2 linked regions of the Daphnia pulex genome follow. The protein of the gene in region 1 interacts with the protein of each later gene in a biochemical or structural test. Links are inferred from orthologs where the notes say so. Each region holds a gene or a part of one and is shown on either strand. Other genes may lie near its edges. The genes, in order: glutaredoxin-related protein 5, mitochondrial-like; bolA-like protein DDB_G0274169.

Region 1 (8,583 bases):
CGCGTGAAACACATGTCTTTTACGTATGATGGTGTAAACTAAATTAGCATTGCCTATTGACAATGAATAAATGATCAATATGCAGAGAAGGTGAAGGCAGAGACAGCGTTATTTACTTACCATCAAACTGATACTGTATTATGTTGTTAAATATCTCGAGAAGGAAGAAAACGAGATGATGGTTGTTGGGGGCTGAAAACAGAAACCATGGAGTACTGAATGCTTCCAATAGATGAAGCAGTTTGGTGCTAGCCACCATAGACAGCGTCTTTAGATAAGGAGATACTGGAAAATAAAATAGAATAAATTAGTAAACAAAATTTATGATTAAATTCAATAGAGATGCATTTCCGCTGGATCACTGCTGCCTTGTTGGTGATCTTGTTGACTACCGCCCCGGTGGACTCTCAAAAACGCCGTAAAGGCGAAAGGAAAAAAGAATCCGAGGCTACCACTGCTGCACCGAAGGTAGAGGTGAAACAAGAAGGGGGAGGGGGAGGAGGAAGACGTTCGGGACGTCACACGACTACTACGACTACTACCACACCGCCAACTACCCTAGCTGTTGCTGAGGAAGAAGTGGAAGAGGAAATTCAGATCACCAATGAATCTCGGTCGCCTGTAAATGTGTGCCCTCCCGAATTGAAACCTCAAGAGGGTAAAATTTTACCATGCACCTGTCGTGATGAACTGGACGAAAATGCTCTGATGATTGAATGTGTCGCTCTTACAAGTGCACAACAAATGCATAAAATTTTCAACGTAATCGTGGCAAATATTTCGTTATAATCTGCATCAGTTCCGATAAAGATTTAAATTTTTTACTCCACAGACTTTGCTTCTCGGTAAGCGGATCGACGCACTAGAAGTTCGTAACTCGACTCTTGGACCACTTTTGGCTCGTCAAACTGCCCAAGCTTATGTTGGAAATATGCTTATGAGAGGCAATGAAATCACCGAACTTGTCCATAATACATTTCAAGGAACCGATCAAATCGTTGGACGTCTAGATCTAAGTTCAAATCGGCTTACCAGAGTCAATTTTTCCATGTTTGACTCGTTCACTCAACTGCAGGTAACAAAAATAAATTTATTCTTAAGATCTCATTCGTGATACTGATTCAATGTGTGTGTGCGGGAAAAAAAAAACAGGTCCTGAACTTGGGCGAGAATCAACTGACAAACATTGAAGATGCCGGTCAAGCGCCTTCTCTAAGAGTACTTTATCTCTACTCCAACAAGATTGACACGATTGCTCCTAAAGCATTCCGGCGTTTAGGCGCACTAGAATATCTCGACCTTCGCTGGAATAATCTGCAAGTTTTAGCTCCTGGTGCGTTTCACGTTTCCTCTGATCGGTGGCAGCTACGTTTACGTGCCAATCAACTAAGTTCACTAGAACAGGCTTTTTCAGAAGGTGCAATTTGTTATAATTACATAAGATAAAAAGTACTAAATCAAAACCTAACCGGATTTACTCCTAACAGATAATATGCCGTATCTTGTCGACCTAAGTTTAAACAACATCGCATCCCTAACAGACAACATTTACGGACCTATAATCGACTCGGCTATTTTGGAAGGTTCAAAATTCTATGTGGCGGGCAATCCTATCGCGTGTGACTGCAGCCTTGCCTGGTTAGTAAAAAACGCACGACTACTATCCATCGTGGTTGGTGCGAGGTGCGATGGTGATGGCTCACCCATCGCCGATCTTGGCCTTGACGATTTCCGCAAATGTCCTCCTCCAAGACCATGGAAATCTCAGTTGGACAAGACTTTAGCTGAGTTGGCAAAAGATAACGAAACGAAGTAGAACTTACCATTTACGAGAATTGTCAGTAGACAATCAAACAATGGCTGAAGACGTTGATGTCCTGTAGTGATTATCTTGTGGAATACAACCACCAGCAAATCGGCATGCGTACCTAAAATTCATTAGAATAACAAAATTGTTTTGGAATCAATAATATGTAAATAACCACCTGTGAATACTGGAATGTCCATGGGGACGGTCGCCGTATATGGCTTATTCAGACGAACTCCAAAATTTCGTTCACCACTCAACAGAAGAAGGATAAAAACTCCAATGTGCATTAGTCCAACGCGAGCTAAGCAAAAAATTAAATATCGGATTATCATATTATTTCTTCAGCCGTCTAGGTATAGCGACTTACACTGATCAGCACGAGAATCATTGAGATGAAATAGAATAGGAACTAATACATCGAGTACGTCACTCGATTTTAGGACATAGTACAGGAATTTCTGTTATGAAAACAATTAATTGAAAAACGCATAGTCTGAAAGAATTTGAGAAGACAGGATAATTACCTTGTTAAAATCGCACACCTTCCAGAAAAACACAAGTAATTCTTGGTGATTCTGAACTTTCTTATTAGAATTAGGCAGGTATGTTTGTATCAAAGGATTTTTTAGGAGACGAGTGAATCCATGAAGCATGAAAGCAAAGTCTTCTTCTCGGTGAATGCGCGACAAATAATTGATGAACAAATTTTCGTGGATCATTCCGCTCTGCTGCACCAATAAATTAAAGCAACAAATGTACTTAAACTGAATGTTACAAATAACTTAAAACTGATTTATACCTCGTCAATAGTATTCAATTGCGAGCATTGAGCAGATGAATCCCAATCAAGAGTAACAATTAGGAGTTGTAAAGCTGTCTCTACCAAAGGTTCACGACTGTCGGTGAACAGTAAATGATTATATGGTAAACCGAGTCCAACGGGGTCATATGCACAGAGGACATTCAAAAGTGAAGTAAATAAGGGCAATGCATGGCGATTCTCCGGTGATGTGAAATGTTGGACCCATTTGTTAGGAGCCTCACTTTCACCTAAAACATCGATTTTAAAATGTAATTTGAAATGTATAAAAATAACAGAAAAACTACTTACTCCCAGGTGGATGATACATTGCTTGACTAAAACAAGTCAACAGAAGCTTCAAAATCTCATTTCTATTATTATCAAGGCGTGGATCATGTGGAGCAGCATGGGCAAACCCAACACCAGCTTCCCATATAAATTCACAGCTATCTATTGAATGGAGATCTTCATGTTTGTCCTACAGGATAAATTCAAGTTACAGAAAAGAAACCTAAATTTTATATAATGGATATAACTTACAGGTCCAAATTTTTTACTAGAATAAACTGTGAAATCTGGGCAAAAGAGAAGATCACAAAGTGCATTTAGTAAAGATTGGGCAAGGGGAACAGATTCTTCTGCATGGCCCTCTGGATTTTCACCATCATCTTTGAACTGTTGCTTAGAGCTACTGGGTAAACTAGACCAGAAAAAACTACGCCAGTCAGGATCTTCGAAGATGTAAGGAAGCAGTCTTGTGAGTATGCGAACACAGTTGATAACTAGGATAGAAAATAAAGTCATATGAAAATAAATGCGGAAAACTTGCATTTAAAGATTACTTTACCAGTACTATGTTCTTGCTGAGTAGCACACGATGAGTCTGCAGCACTTACTAGTCTTTCAACAGCTTTGTAGCATAATGTTGCTAAATTTGATGGACATTCTTCTCTTAGAACACGTATTTCTGTAGCAGGAATTAATGTAAAAACATCTTGGATATTTGTGATGCTCTCTGACCAAAACTGGGACCAGAAAGTGTTATCCGAAGGATCAATGGGCTTCATTTTCATAAATTAATATCGAAACGTTAAAGAAAAAACAGATTTTTAAATCTTTTGAATTCTGACCTGTGTTTTTGATGTAAGTTGAACAACAGCTTTACGGAAGTTGAGTTTTGTGTCAGCATTACCCATTGCAAAGGCTATACAGAAACAGTCAAACAAATAAGCCTTTCATGTACAGTACATGAATTCAGAAGATGAAAGAACAATGAAATAGCTGAAATAGATACAGAAGCTAAGTGCCAACTGCCCAAGTCTCTGACAAGCGACAAGGCCGACAACTGACAATCAATAATACGTCACTCACACGAGTAATTTGTAACTCATGCAACGTAGGCAACACAGTCTTCACCAGTGAACTGATACTGATCCGATTCCGTGTCGTTAAAAAACGGATTTTTTGAGGGCCGTAGAACGGATTGGTTTCCGACTTTTCCGTTCTCTTACGCTAGAGTCGCATGAAGGCAATAACGTTATGCCTACCAGTACCCTCTAGCGCCTCTAGCTGATTCATAATCGGATTCGTTTCAGTTAACCGATTTTTGATAAATCAGCGCGTTGTTCAAATCAGTGAGCGGACCCGTTTCCGTTCACAGATTCGTTTCAGTTTATTATCAACTTGTTTTTATAATAAGAAGCCCACAAGGCTTTTATCAACTAAACAGCATAGGGTTCATCATGTTCAAACATGTGATATTTTTTGTAAGTATCTTTATCTGAGAAATCTCTCTTTCCAACTTGCCATCCTCTGTCCGGAGCCCTGTGTAATGTATACATTTAATGAGAAGATTCAACATGTTGAAGCAGAAGTGGAAATACCTGGTGTAATCAAATCCAGATGGATTTTTCCCATAAAGTTCATTCCTGGCCTCAATTTCATCACTGAATGTAAAAATATGCAAGCTGTTTGAAATAGCTGAAATAGGTTACAAAAAAAAAATAACTTACCGATATTTGCCCACAACAACTTTTTTCCCTGTTATAGGATCTGTTATATCCCCAAATGTGTATACAATCTAGCAAAATAATCACAACTGTAAAAATGCAAATCTTTTTAGAGTGAATTTTCATTAACCTTATTGACTTGGTGGGTGATGTTTTTCGTCAGCTTTTTGGGTAACAGATCAATCATCACAACATCACCAGGTTTGCACACACTACTTGGATCATGTGCGTACACTGTAACATGTTTTGAAAAGTGCTAAAAAATATAGAGGCCTACAGTTAAAAAATTTTATATAAATAATAAAAACCAAAACTAACCATATTCAAATGTGTATCAAATTCCATCACTTTTACTTTGAATTTTGCGGCGTTCTTCAAGTCTGACGGTAAGCATCGGGCAAGAACAGATGCAAGCTTAGAAACCTGTAATGCAGCCATATTCGTATTCGGTTGCAATGTGTCGATTTTAAATGTTATGTAAAAGCAGATAGGGTTCATTCACCTGTCCTAAATTCAATTAATCAATTTTCCGCAAGATGACTGGTGTCATGCAAAAGTGTTCTAAAGTCTTTCTTCAAGCGGCTGTGCTTAACAGGCCAATTTCAATAGCCTATCTTTGCACTGTGTCACCAAAAGATCAGTATGAACAGATGGTTAAGAAAAACAAAGTTGTTGTCTTCATGAAGGGGGTTCCTGAGCAGCCTATGTGCGGCTTTAGTAATGCAGTTGTTCAAATTTTCAGAATGCATGGAGTAACAAATTATGATGCTCACAATGTTTTGGCTGATGAGAGTATTCGTCAAGGTAATTTTGAACATTACTCAGTTTAAAAGAAATTGTAACCTAACATACATGTTTCCTTTTTTTAAGGTATCAAGGAATTTACAAACTGGCCTACAATACCACAAATTTTCATTGGTGGTGAGTTTGTTGGTGGTTGTGATATTCTTTTACAAATGCACAAAAACGGGGAGTTAATAGAAGAACTACAAAAAGTTGGAATCCAATCAGCTTTACTTGAACAAGAAAAAAAGGAAGAATAACTTGAAATTTTATTTGTTTTTCATCAACTGTATTTCTCAGTCACAATAATTTTTCCTCCGTCAGCTGCTTTAGGACTTCCCCAACAATCTAAATTCATGAGAAAACAATATCACATTAAACTTTCCTGTAATAAAGCCTGTTTCCGATTCATCCACGGTTCTGTCATAGACAAAGACCACTGGTTGAAGCTCTTCATAAGAAAATTAACATTTAACATGGCCAACTGTCGCCAGAATTCTTGCTACCCTTCCTCCGATTTCTCCAACCCCGTATTACTTGTCCTGCCCTCTAGTGTACGTTTTCATCTCTACACTCTGCTTACTTCTATTCAATTGCAATGATTCAATTGATTTCTCTGCTTTTGTAATTAGCTAATGTCAAAATTTAATACAATTTGACTTCTTAATAAAAAATTTTAAGGCAAAATTACCTAAAACTATTAAACGCCAGCAAAGAATTTTACCAAGACAGAAGGAAAACAATCTTCGTCTGCAAAACCCTTCGTAGCCTCGGTGCAGTACAGTACTTTGTCCGCTAGAGGCACTACAATCGATACGGGAGCTCGGGGTCAGTAGGGATAGGGCTAAAAGGATAGCACAGCATCAACCAGTGGTCTTTGTCTATGGTTCTGTGTCTGGTGACAGTTGAAAAATAAGAACCTGGCAACGGTGGTCAAAAAGCGGGAAAAAAAACTGAGCAGACGACGTGGAAATTTCAGATTGAAACTAAAGCAAAATTTGCTACATTTTACAACTTTTAATCTAAACAATTGAATTGAAATGAGTGAATACCCGCCCTACCTCTGCCCATTGTAAGTTTAAAATTTAGGTTAGGATAGGTTAGGATAAATTTTACCTAGGGCCAATCATGTATCCCTTTCTCTGTGATCTTCCTTTCAGATGCGAGGAACACCACCACTATCTGACTGAAAACTGCCACAGTAAGTAAAATTACATTTTAATTTTTAAAAATTTAGTAATGTTAATAATTGTTTAAAGATGTAGAAGCTCAGGAGGAACAAGAAGAGGAGAACTCAGACGGGGAGCAAGATTTTGACTGGGAGGAAGAAGGTCACCAACAAGATTGGGGAGAAGAACTTTTCGATGTCAATTATCACTATGGTAAGTTTTAAAATTTGTTAAGCAAATCAGTGTGTAATAATATTTGTTGGGAATTTATTGCATCCCAACAGTGATCGACATTATTGCTACTGTTAATTCTGTGTAATTTGTAGGGACCTCAACAGAGGGCCCCGATTTTACCCTCTCTTCCCATTCAATCTATTGTTCCCTACCCTACTCAACCCTAAACCAACTATTGAAATACCAAAATGCTGTATTATACGGCAGTGTGAAATATAAGGACGAACTAGCAACAACAAAGGTGTCATCTCTTATCTCAATCTTGGAAGTTGAACGGTCGACACCGCCAACAAGAGTTCCATTTCCAACATGGTCCTTCGAACCGGAGTTTTCTCCAACCAGTGTTAAGTTAGTTTCGCTCTATCACACTCAAATCTTTCTCTCGTTATCTCCTTTTGCTTAATCATTGCCGCCATTTATCAAAGAAAATTGTGTTTAATTATGGCAGGTCAGTCATTTATTAGAATCTTTTTCTCTCCCTCTGAGTTTAACTTGTTCTCAGGGGTCTAGTAAGCAAATAGATCCCTTTAAACAGTAAATTATTTCTCTTCTCTCTCTTGAATTAAAGCTAAAATATTTCCTCAAAGTTTCTTAAAATTAGAATACGATTCCTAAATCATTTTTGAAGGGGGATTCTTTTCTTGTCACGCAAATTATCATCGCCTAAGTAAAATTATTCTCTCTTCCCTTTCAAAGAATTTTGTGGATATTGCCTTTCCATCTCTTAGATCGGGAAAAATCGGGAACTTCCCTACCTCTTTAACGTGTTCACCTCGTGTGAGCCTTAGGTGATATTCTCTCTCTATCTCTTGATACGCCTCCCGGCATTGTCAAAACGAATCTCAGCTGATTGGGTTCACTGCCCGTTCTTTAAAAATGGGATAACGCGGGAATCTCTTTCCTTTCAAGAATTTTTTTTGGGGGGGCTTGCTTCCCTACCTCTTAGATTGGGAAAACGCGGGAACTTCTCTAACCCTTCAATGAGTTCGCCTCGTGTGAGCCCCAGGGTGAAAAGACTTAAATAAATTATCGCTCTCTTTGCTATGGCCTTAGACCATTTCCCGAAAACAAATCTCTCTCATTTTTTTTAATTTGCATTGTTTGTTATTCAATCATTTGGGTAAATCTCTCTCTGTCTCAGAAGGCACAACGATCTCTCTAAATACGACAGAAAAATATTCTCTTTTTTGGGGGGCTAGGCCGGTTTCCCCTTTAAACTGGAAAAAACGCGGGAAAATTCTCTACCCTTTCAACGCGTTCGCCTCGTGTGCGCCTTAGGGTGATTAAAACTTGAATTTTTTTTCTCTCTCTCTATTTACAAAGGCCTTCCGCCATTTCGAAACAAATCTCGCGCTCTTACGCTCTCGCATTTTTTGTTTGCTTAAAGGGAAATCTTTCTCTTTTTCTGAGAAGGCACAAAGCGCCCTCTGAGCACAAAATTGGGAATTAGAAACCGCCGTCTTGCGGCAAAAACTCTTTAAATTCTCTTTCCTAAAAAATTGTTATTATGCCGTTTGTGGGATTGTAAGGAGCTAGAAAATTACCCTAGCTCCAAAATCATTCAGTTTTTGCAGATATCTTCACATAAAGGAATTCAAAGAAAGTGGAAAAGACAGCAGAATTTAATTCGGCACCACGAATCTCCGAAGACCGAGCAGAACAACAAACAAAAAGGCTAATCAACTTAATCAAAACATTAATTTAAACTAATTATCTTCTTTTCGTACTCTCAGCAGCTCCTTAGGAGCCACCTCCAACTCACAATGGCTCCAAATT
Region 2 (9,166 bases), on another chromosome or scaffold:
ATTAAATTGTCAACTTCAAATACGTACCCCTAACGACTAGACCCGGCCCATCACCAGGTTCGTTCAATGGCTCGCCAACTCCAAAATGATCTTGAGAAAAAGCCCAAAATTTATTTTATTACTCCCAATTTTGTTTGTTTTATTTGAAAACAAAAAATTACCATCATACAACAGCCGACGATGAACCTATCTCCAAAAAAAGTGAGTAAAAACCCCCAAACAAATAAAGTTAAGTAATGCGCATAAATTAAAATTGTCTTATATTGCCTAACCATGAGTTCAATTTGGCCATCTTTCAGGCTGGTTCCTCCTTGTGATCGGTCGTTGACAAGGGCTAGGACCGCTCCGGCATTTTGCTCACTGTCAGTGACGTAAATGTGGGAATTGATGGGGTAGTAGTTTCCAGAGACGGGCTCCGTGACGTCCAGTGTCCAAGTGGGACGAAAATCTCTCCGGCGCAGCAAGGTTTGGCGGCCGTTGGAATCGGTATAGAAGCGACCCCCGCTAGGTATTTGTGTCGTCACTCGACTGACAATCTCCTTTCCAATTCCGTCCCTGATTTTATTTTATTTTATTTTGTTATTTTCGAAATAGAATTCTTTCGTCATGTTGCCGCGACAGTGAAGAACTGGAATCACATACCCGACGGGGATCGGTCCCACGGTCCACTCAATCTCCACATCACTCTGGCCTTTGTAGACGCGCACCACTTGGCTGGCCCAGTCGCTGAATTGCTGATAAACTTCACTTACCAAGGCACCTTATAGTAGATGTAATCGTATAAAGTCAGTTTTTTTTTTTGCTTTTTGGTCCGGCCAATTTATCGATTCAAAGGCGGCCCTTTCGCTTGTATGCCCTTTTGTTTCTTATTCATATTAGAATATGCGTCCGAGTGGGTATTTATACGAACCTGTTTGAACGATAAGAGTGGCCTGCGTTGAGATGGGTGTGGCGTCAGTGCCGTTGGGACGGAAGACGTAAGCGCCAGACGGGCGATCGTCGAAGATACTGTTGGCGTTTCCTTCATTCATTCCAGCGTACCACATCAAATTCTGGCTCATCATCACGGTTACTCCATCAACGACTACGCTCTCGATTAAGCCGTTGGCGTCGAAATTGACCGACAGTTTCTGCACATTAGACACCCCCCGGCGGCAGCGGAGAATATACGCACGTACGTATGGATACCAAACTTGGGTTATCATGGCATATGATGAATGATTGTGTTTTAGATTACCCCATTGCTGACGGCGATTCTTTCGCCGGCTTCTGCCATACGAACGGTTGTCGACTGCCGCTCCCTGCTGCTGGTGATGGTGGAATGTTGCTGACCGTGCCGAGCGCTAGATTTCACGATGTAGAACGTTTTGTGGCCGAGCGCTGGAATGCTGGCCGCCTGGAACACTAACTCGTGTGTAGCTGATGATTTGGGTCTTTCAGTTTCGATCGATCGGAGTGCCGCATTGACGAGCGGGACCAGTTGGACGATCAGCTCGCTACCTGTTGGTATTGTGAACGACAATCAATCAACTTTCAGGCGTCTTTGTGGCGAGACCCACTCCCTTTTTTTTCTTGATTATTAAATTTTATTATTATCGAGTCGATTATATTACCGTCGGGGTCCAGAACGGTGTAGACTCCATTCATAACCGGTAATCGGACGTAAGTGGTCACCTCATGAGAGCGCGGATTGTAGACGGTCGTTACGAAACGAGAAGACGATTCCGTAATGGCGCATTGGCTCACGTTCAAATGAAGGCAAAACTCTTGTGGTGGCAATGCCTGGCTGCCGATCGGAAGTAGCTGGCTGGGTTTTCCCCGGTTTAAAATTTGGTTGGTGAATTTTTTGGGTTTGAAAAAAAAAGGAAAATTTGTGAAATTTTGTACCTGAAAGAATTGCCCACATCCTTTTGACAATCGACGAGACTGTCGTGCAATCTCAGCCTATAATCTGGCGGTTAGAAATTATCGTCATTTCACAAAAATTCAATCATTCAACCGTGAACAAACACACTGTGATGTTTACCTTGGGAAACGTGTTCCTTCTCGGTGCCAGCCACAGCATCTTTTTTCGTACAAATATTATACATCAGTGTCATTAGTGTTTTAGCCCGCATGTAATAATAATAATATAATGAAAAGAATCTAAGGCTCTGATTGCCTACCGTGATGTTGTGCCTCTCCCATGCTGCGTCTGAGACTATCAATCAGATTTTGGCCGCCGGCAGATTGGCCAGCCAGCGAATGGAGTTGCTTGCAACTCTATACACGGGAAGTTTGTATTTTTATTCAAGAACACATTTCAACGCTTGCACCTGGTGTCAGTTTTTTTGGTTTTTTGGTTGGGGGGAAATTTGTAGTACCTGAAGGAAAGTGTTGGCTTTCCGCACCGTACCCTTGTAGGCTGGCCGAGATGTAAAATAACCCGTCCAGTAGGCGTGCGGATCATTTGAGTAAGGAAAGAAGTCATCCGTCTTGGTCGGCCACGGCCGGCTTCCGGCTTCGTTGTTGATAGCCTTGACATAACAGCTGGGCGTCGAGTAAAACAGGTTGACTCCGCTGGCCAACTCGTTAGTGTAGCGTATCATTTTATCCATGTTCTTAAAGTTCATGTCAGCTTCAGTGCCCAAAAATTGAATATAAAAAGGGTAGGAAATGAATTGAATTAATTTTTTGAAAGGCCTCATTAGAAACATAACATTTCTGTCATTATTCCGTAGGACATGTCAAGCTCGAGCACTTGTAATAGTATATACCCGACATGTAGTTGAAATCATCGCCCATGGTGAGCATGATATTACTGGTGGAGTAACTGAGAGCCTTGGCTTTGATGTGCGCTTCTAAATCCTTCACCTATTAGACGTTTGAATTGTCGTTTTACTAATTGAAATCGTGCTGAAACGGGAGGATTTATTCGCTTGGATACCTTTTTCACGACGTTGTAGTCGGCAGATCTAGGACTGTCGATAAACGGCTCGTCTCTGCACACGACATCAAAGCAGAAACCGTTGGGAGCCGAGTAATGCTCGTAGAAGATCCCCGTGAAGATGGAATTTGGTTCACCTGTTATATAATAATATCGTTCTCAACGGTTTACAGCGAGCAGCGCAGCTAGACATTGAAGATCTAGGATTTCTGGAAGGGTTCATTACTATACCAGGGCTGTTGCTAGTATGCCAGATCATCTCCATTTCCTTCTTGGCTTTCCGTTGAGTCCTATCAACCCAGTCGATCCTGCCAAAGAAGACACCGTCGAAACCCTACACCGTTTTATATACAGGAGTACAACACGCGAATGACTCGGAAACTAATCAAATCTTCTCTCAAATAGGATCGCATTTCGATTACCATGGAAGCAAATATGGACGCCTGCTCCCTCGAGTGGCCGAACGGATCAATCTGCCAGCCGATTTTAGGGCGGCCACACTCGCCAAATGTATCGTTTAAGAACCTGTGAAAGTGCATTTAAAAGTTATTTGGACGACCTTGGCCCTTTAACTGTCAAGTTACTCGTGTGCGTACCTCATTCCCCAGGTCATTTGATCGATGATGTCGTTGTAGTGCGTTCCAGCTTCGTCGTTCATGCACCAGCCGCCATTTATGAATTCGAGACGGCCTTCTTCAACTAATTGCTTGACGACAGCCTTTTTCTCTTCTGTTTGCTCTTGCCACCTTTGGAAATGGATCAAGTATATAGTTGCTGCCAGTTCTCTATTAAACAGTTTGCATTTTTAATGGCCGAAAATTGCATAATGATTGCCTACCATTGCGAAAAGAAGGCCATTTCCACATAGATGAATCTGAATGAGCCAAAATGGTCGCATTGCAGTCAATTAGTATAATATCCAATTAAAACGGAAAATGTGTGTTCAGAAAACCTCCTTGCCGGATCTTTCACCAACTCCTTGATGACGGAATCAATGATGTACTGTACGCCTGCTCTCTGGTAACCCGTTTTCGCTTGGAAAGTTTGTTGAAAAAGTTAACTTTGAATCGTCATTTTATATTTTAAGTGTTCATATTTACAGCCATAGTAGTATTGATCGACCGTTTTCAACCACCCGACGTCGTCGTGTGTATCTGCGGAAAGTGTATCACAACGTGATTAATTGGACAAACGAAAGAATCAAACAAAAGTTAATTTTATAATTTTTCATACGCGGAACGACGTGAACATTGATCACTCCCGGTTTACTCGGCGTACAGCTCTGCGATAAAGAAAAAATCAATATGGCAGTAATGTGATATATTTACACTTAAAAAAAAAAAAAAAAATTTGTTAAAAGAAATATGTTTCTGTTTACATCATAGCCGCAGGAAGAGGCTCGCTGCTGGGGAGCGGCGTCGGTCGTGATCCAACAGCAACCGAACGCTAGAAGCGAAACGATGCCGATAAAGGGTAGCTTCATCTTGTATAAAGCTGAAATGCTGATGGTCTCAGCACTGGTGCGACAAGGAAACGTCTGGCGAAAAATCTCCGGTTCAGTTCAGAGTTAGTTCACTGTACGTATCTCTTCAACTTTCACTTGCATCTCTGAAGTCTGGAATATTTGGTTTTGTTTGTCCGGTTTATCTAATCGCTGAGGCTAGATCCAACGGTCGACTTGACTTACACACTGCTGGCCCATCAAATAAGCGGGTAACAGCATGTCAAATTATTCTTATATATTCACCCGCAGTAACATGTTAGCAACACAGCACAGCAGAAAATCGCTTTTTTAACTTGAGATGATCGGATAAGTTTTTTGTTTACGCTTCTCGTAACGTGGAATCTTGACTAACAATCCGATGAGTGGCAGTGTAAATATTTGTTTATTTCGGAGCACTCTGAACCAGAAAGAAAGATATTTTAAGATGTTTATTTGATAACAGAATATTGAGCGAAGATGACAGATAGCAGTGTGGCTGCGCATTTATGTTACACAACACAACTGACATTTGATGATTTAACTCACAAGAAAAAAACACATCTAGCTAATGAATGACCTCAATGACTTACACAGTTTTTCAAATCACAGCAGATAATTCCGAATGATTAATTTGGTATAATAATTTCAAATATTGTCGATTTTCTTTTTAAAATGCATCAAGATCGGCATCGTTGCCTAGAAAGAAAACAACAACATCGCAACTTTCGTCTGCTTTTTCGTCTGCATTTTTAACAAGAAGTGTAAGTAGGGCTTAATCACGACTTAATCTAAATTTACTTTGATTGATTTAAAATTCTCCGTTTGAACAGGGTTGCTGCGGATGATAATGATATGCTAGCTCGAACTTTTAGAGTTTTGTCCCCTTTTCATTCATCATTTTCATCGAGGACTATGACTACCATTCCGATTCAAAACAACCCAATGGAAATGTCAATTCGTGTAAAGCTCACTAATCAATTTTCACCAGTTCATTTAGATATATTCAATGAGTCATACATGCATAATGTACCGAAAGGAAGTGAGACTCATTTCAAGGTTGTGGTTGTTTCAAGCAAATTTGAAAACACACCATTGTTACAGGTATCAAGGCATTAACAATTTACATTTCAAGATTGAATTTTGATTTGATTTTTCTTATTATTAGAGGCATAGGTTGGTAAATGAAGTACTCTGTGATGAGCTAAAAAATGGAGTTCATGCTTTATCAATTGTTGTGAGTTACATTGGTTAACTTTAGAAATGATCTATGGTGGTAACTAATATTATAATTTGTTTAATCACTAGGCAAAAACACCTTCACAATGGGAAGGTTCATCTAAAGTTACTGAAAAAAGTCCAGCATGTAAAGGTGGTTTTGGCAAATAACTATTGGGCTCTTTAAATATTCAAAGCTGCTTTCAAACATCAGTCAGTAAATAAATGTATTTGTTTCACTCTTCCAGGTGTCTCAAACAGACTTACTGAATTATTATTCAATCTTTTCCTAAAACTTTAAGATTATTTTATGAGTATTAAAATTAAAATTTCAAATTTTACACTGTAGTTGGTGACATATAAATAGGGTTATTCCAGAAACATATATTCTTGCTTTACTGAAGATGTATTAGGAAGTGTAATTAAATTCCAATTCAACTTCAATACGACAAGCTTCAGCCTCAGCGATTTGTTTCACACATATTACATTTGAACCCACCGACCGTAGAATCCACCAAGTAGAACATCTTATTAATAATTCAGTCATTCATTTTTAGGGTTGTTTGACCTAGCCCGTATGTTTAACGAAGCAAACAATTCTTCTCCTCACATTTTCAATTTTTCATATTGACAGTCAATATTCATATTTGGCTGAATTCTCGTGAAAAGAAAAATTAAATACTTGCTTCTTATTTACGATTGAAATTTTAGCTGCCGCTGCAGTCATCTAAATTCTAAAATTACATTATTATTTTTTATCGACATAGCACATAGCCGGGAAAACATATGAATCGCGTGGTCGACTATGTATCGATTACTTAATCGATTCGATTATATTTTGAACACCGTTGAGCGGTGGCGGTGCAGATTCGTCAACTGATCATCACATTGCAAACAGTCTTTAAGCCAGCAGGTGTTTGGAAGTGGTCATTGTTTTTGTTGCTAATGCTCAAATCCGCAAATAACATAAGAAAACATCACTAACAATGGCAGAAGTTTCCCTGAGAGAACCAAGTGCTGCTCAAGAAAAGACTTTTGTCAGTGTGTTTCATGAGCTTTGTACAAAATTTGACTTTGGAGTAGCCATGTATAACTTGGTGGCTGAGCAAGGCGAACCCCACAGTCGAACTTTCTTGATGAATTTGACTGTAGACATGTTGGGTATTTCAGGTAACCCTTTAATTGCTATAAATTATCGTTAAAAATCTGCAAATAATTGAAATTTGATCTATCTATCACCAGTTGAAGGCATTGGCTTAACCAAGATGCAAGCAAAGCATGATGCTGCCTATAAAATGATGCTTCAAATCAGGGAGACTTATCGAGCCGATGGAACTCTCAACAATGTCCCCAGAGTAAAACTCGTGAACTGCTGTGAATGGTTTGTTCAATTTGTTTCTATTTTTTCTACGGGCCTCTTTTATAGACTTTTTTTTTGAGCAGGCTGGAAAAATGTGGAACACTAAAGGAAGACATACCCAAACCACCAACAGAACCAACTCTAAATCCATCTGGGGTTCTCACAGAATGGTGTTTGACCAGACACAGCAGTCTTCCTGATTACAGGGTTGTTCGAACTTCAGGTCCTTCTCACTCCAAAACATATTTTATGACTTGCAAGCTTGGGGATCGTATCACTGAAGGTAGGGTTTATCATTTGAAATTTTATTCTCAACATTTTTGGAAAACACCTTACTTTTGTATCAGGTGAGGGAAAGTCAAAGAAGGCTGCCAAAAATGTCGCTGCCGGAAAAATGCTCCAGATACTTTAAGACGAAGAGTTGTAATAGCTATTCCGAGAAACGTGATTTCATAAGTGCACGCTGGATATGGAAAACGATATGAACTTGTAAAAATTTGTCCCGTTCAGTTCTTGCAGGGCCTACACATTTTCGCTGTAGTAGAGGTAAAGCAACATTCATGTTGATTGTTTAAATTTTAATATGGACTCGTGGCCTTGTAATTTTGCTGTACGTATGTAAAATATTAACGGTGGGTGCTTACCATTCTGGGACGTTTTCAGGTTTATCACAAAAGAAAGTAGCAGGGTTGTAGATTGTACCAAGTGGACATCCTCCTAATCGAGGTCGACCACTCTTCAAGCACATGAAGAAATGTCGACAATCTCCCTTCTGTTTTTCATTATTGAATTTAGTAATGGAATTCCAGGAGGGTATCTAGACAAATTCTCACTTTTGGAAAGCGTTCGTGATCGCCAAATTGCAGTACAACTTCGTCTGATTGAACATTAGATCCGTGGGGGCATGTGAAGTCCAAGATCTTTTCAGCTTTGCATTTTAAAAGTGGTTTTAAAGGAAATTTTAACTAATTTGAATATTTTAGGCACCTGAGCATTCGGTACGATTAGCCATATCGGGAAACTCGCAAACAGCTTGGTCAATGTCGAAAATTAAACCTTATAAAGGATGTTTTTAAAATTTAGGTCTCGTTTTGAATTTTGGCACAACGTTGTTTACCTGGCGGGCAGTTTACTTTGGTGGGTGTGCCTTGTTCACATTCACTATAAGCAAAGCATTCATTTTCGATGGGAAATCTTCCGTAGAGTCTTGGGCAGAGGGCGTTTCCTTGTGGCGATTCTTTTAAGATACAAGATTTTTGTGGTCATTGTTTAACAAAGTAATTAGAATACCAAATGTTTTGCTCACGTAAGCGCTTCCTTCTGCCGCATTTAACCCTTTGAATCATGAAACAGGCCTGGCTTTCAGGCTCATAGACCTGTCCGTCTGGACAAAGTTCTTCAGTTATTTGCCCATCCTTACATTTGTAAAATAGGTCACACTGATCCGAATCAGCGATGTAGTAAGGGAATCGTCTTTTTCGACATAGCCGCACGGGATCGCCATTGGTCACGTAAGCCAAGATATTTACTATAATACATGGGAAAAAAACGATTTTGATTTTGGTGAGGTTCACTCGGTATAATATGGGGAAAGTAACCTGCGAATGCGCAGTAAATCAACGTTGCAACACACTTGACCATGGTTTACGACACAGCAATGATTGCTCAATGACTCGACAAGGACTCGGCACGACGTCCTTTATGTACTTTACTTGATCTGTACTGCATGACCATTGAGTAGAAATCCTGCTATCTCTTCCACGAACCCCCTATTATGGGAAAATTGGATGGCGATTCGATGTAATACGGAATAGCCAAGGACGTGCTCGTTATCTCTTTTGGGTTCCCAAGGAAAGCTTTAGCGTTGAGGATGTTTCTGTTATTGTCTTTTAGTTTATCTCGGCGTATTATCTCAAATTTCCCTGTAACAGAAATAATCCTTCAGAAATTAGATATGTGGGTATGTTTTCTTGAAACAAAAACGAGCTCTAGTCACTATTCCTCGCCGAGTTAGATTGCAAAAAGATTCAACCACGCCATAATTATTGTTTGTAATCATCCCCACAGATTTCGATTTCTACGTATGTACTTTCTGTTTTCCCGCAAAGAAGCTTTCGCTTTCGAATTCAACAGTTATTATTGACTACCATACTGGCCAAGAACAAAGATCAAGAAACCTGCG

The links.
Region 2: the proteins of glutaredoxin-related protein 5, mitochondrial-like (region 1) and bolA-like protein DDB_G0274169 form a complex in vitro, tested with the Homo sapiens proteins (2 studies listed by BioGRID). The link is inferred for Daphnia pulex from reciprocal best matches to the Homo sapiens genes GLRX5 and BOLA1.

The regions. Positions count from the first base shown.
Region 1 is NC_060027.1:5,368,542-5,377,124, forward strand, and holds glutaredoxin-related protein 5, mitochondrial-like, read left to right. Parts: upstream 1-5,113; 5' UTR 5,114-5,157; coding exon 5,158-5,425; intron 5,426-5,491; coding exon 5,492-5,664; 3' UTR 5,665-5,791; downstream 5,792-8,583. Other genes in the region: protein HID1-like, read right to left, coding at 1-53, 121-285, 1,824-1,928, 1,986-2,111, 2,178-2,268, 2,335-2,538, 2,610-2,860, 2,922-3,090 and 3 more; slit homolog 1 protein-like, read left to right, coding at 343-762, 833-1,075, 1,153-1,417, 1,488-1,816; 28S ribosomal protein S17, mitochondrial-like, read right to left, coding at 4,334-4,436, 4,496-4,558, 4,625-4,692, 4,752-4,877, 4,940-5,059.
Region 2 is NC_060028.1:8,961,259-8,970,424, forward strand, and holds bolA-like protein DDB_G0274169, read left to right. Parts: upstream 1-4,590; 5' UTR 4,591-4,639; exon of another isoform or gene 4,640-5,028; intron 5,029-5,091; 5' UTR 5,092-5,170; intron 5,171-5,239; 5' UTR 5,240-5,261; coding exon 5,262-5,510; intron 5,511-5,574; coding exon 5,575-5,643; intron 5,644-5,714; coding exon 5,715-5,795; 3' UTR 5,796-5,868; downstream 5,869-9,166. Other genes in the region: lysosomal alpha-mannosidase-like, read right to left, coding at 28-90, 162-186, 273-555, 643-760, 911-1,130, 1,238-1,500, 1,614-1,807, 1,888-1,951 and 13 more; RISC-loading complex subunit TARBP2-like, read left to right, coding at 6,611-6,794, 6,867-7,005, 7,068-7,267, 7,332-7,396; protein obstructor-E-like, read right to left, coding at 7,507-7,519, 7,629-7,756, 7,818-7,912, 7,972-8,040, 8,102-8,221, 8,291-8,512, 8,583-8,625. UniProt on the Homo sapiens protein: Acts as a mitochondrial iron-sulfur (Fe-S) cluster assembly factor that facilitates (Fe-S) cluster insertion into a subset of mitochondrial proteins. Probably acts together with the monothiol glutaredoxin GLRX5. May protect cells against oxidative stress.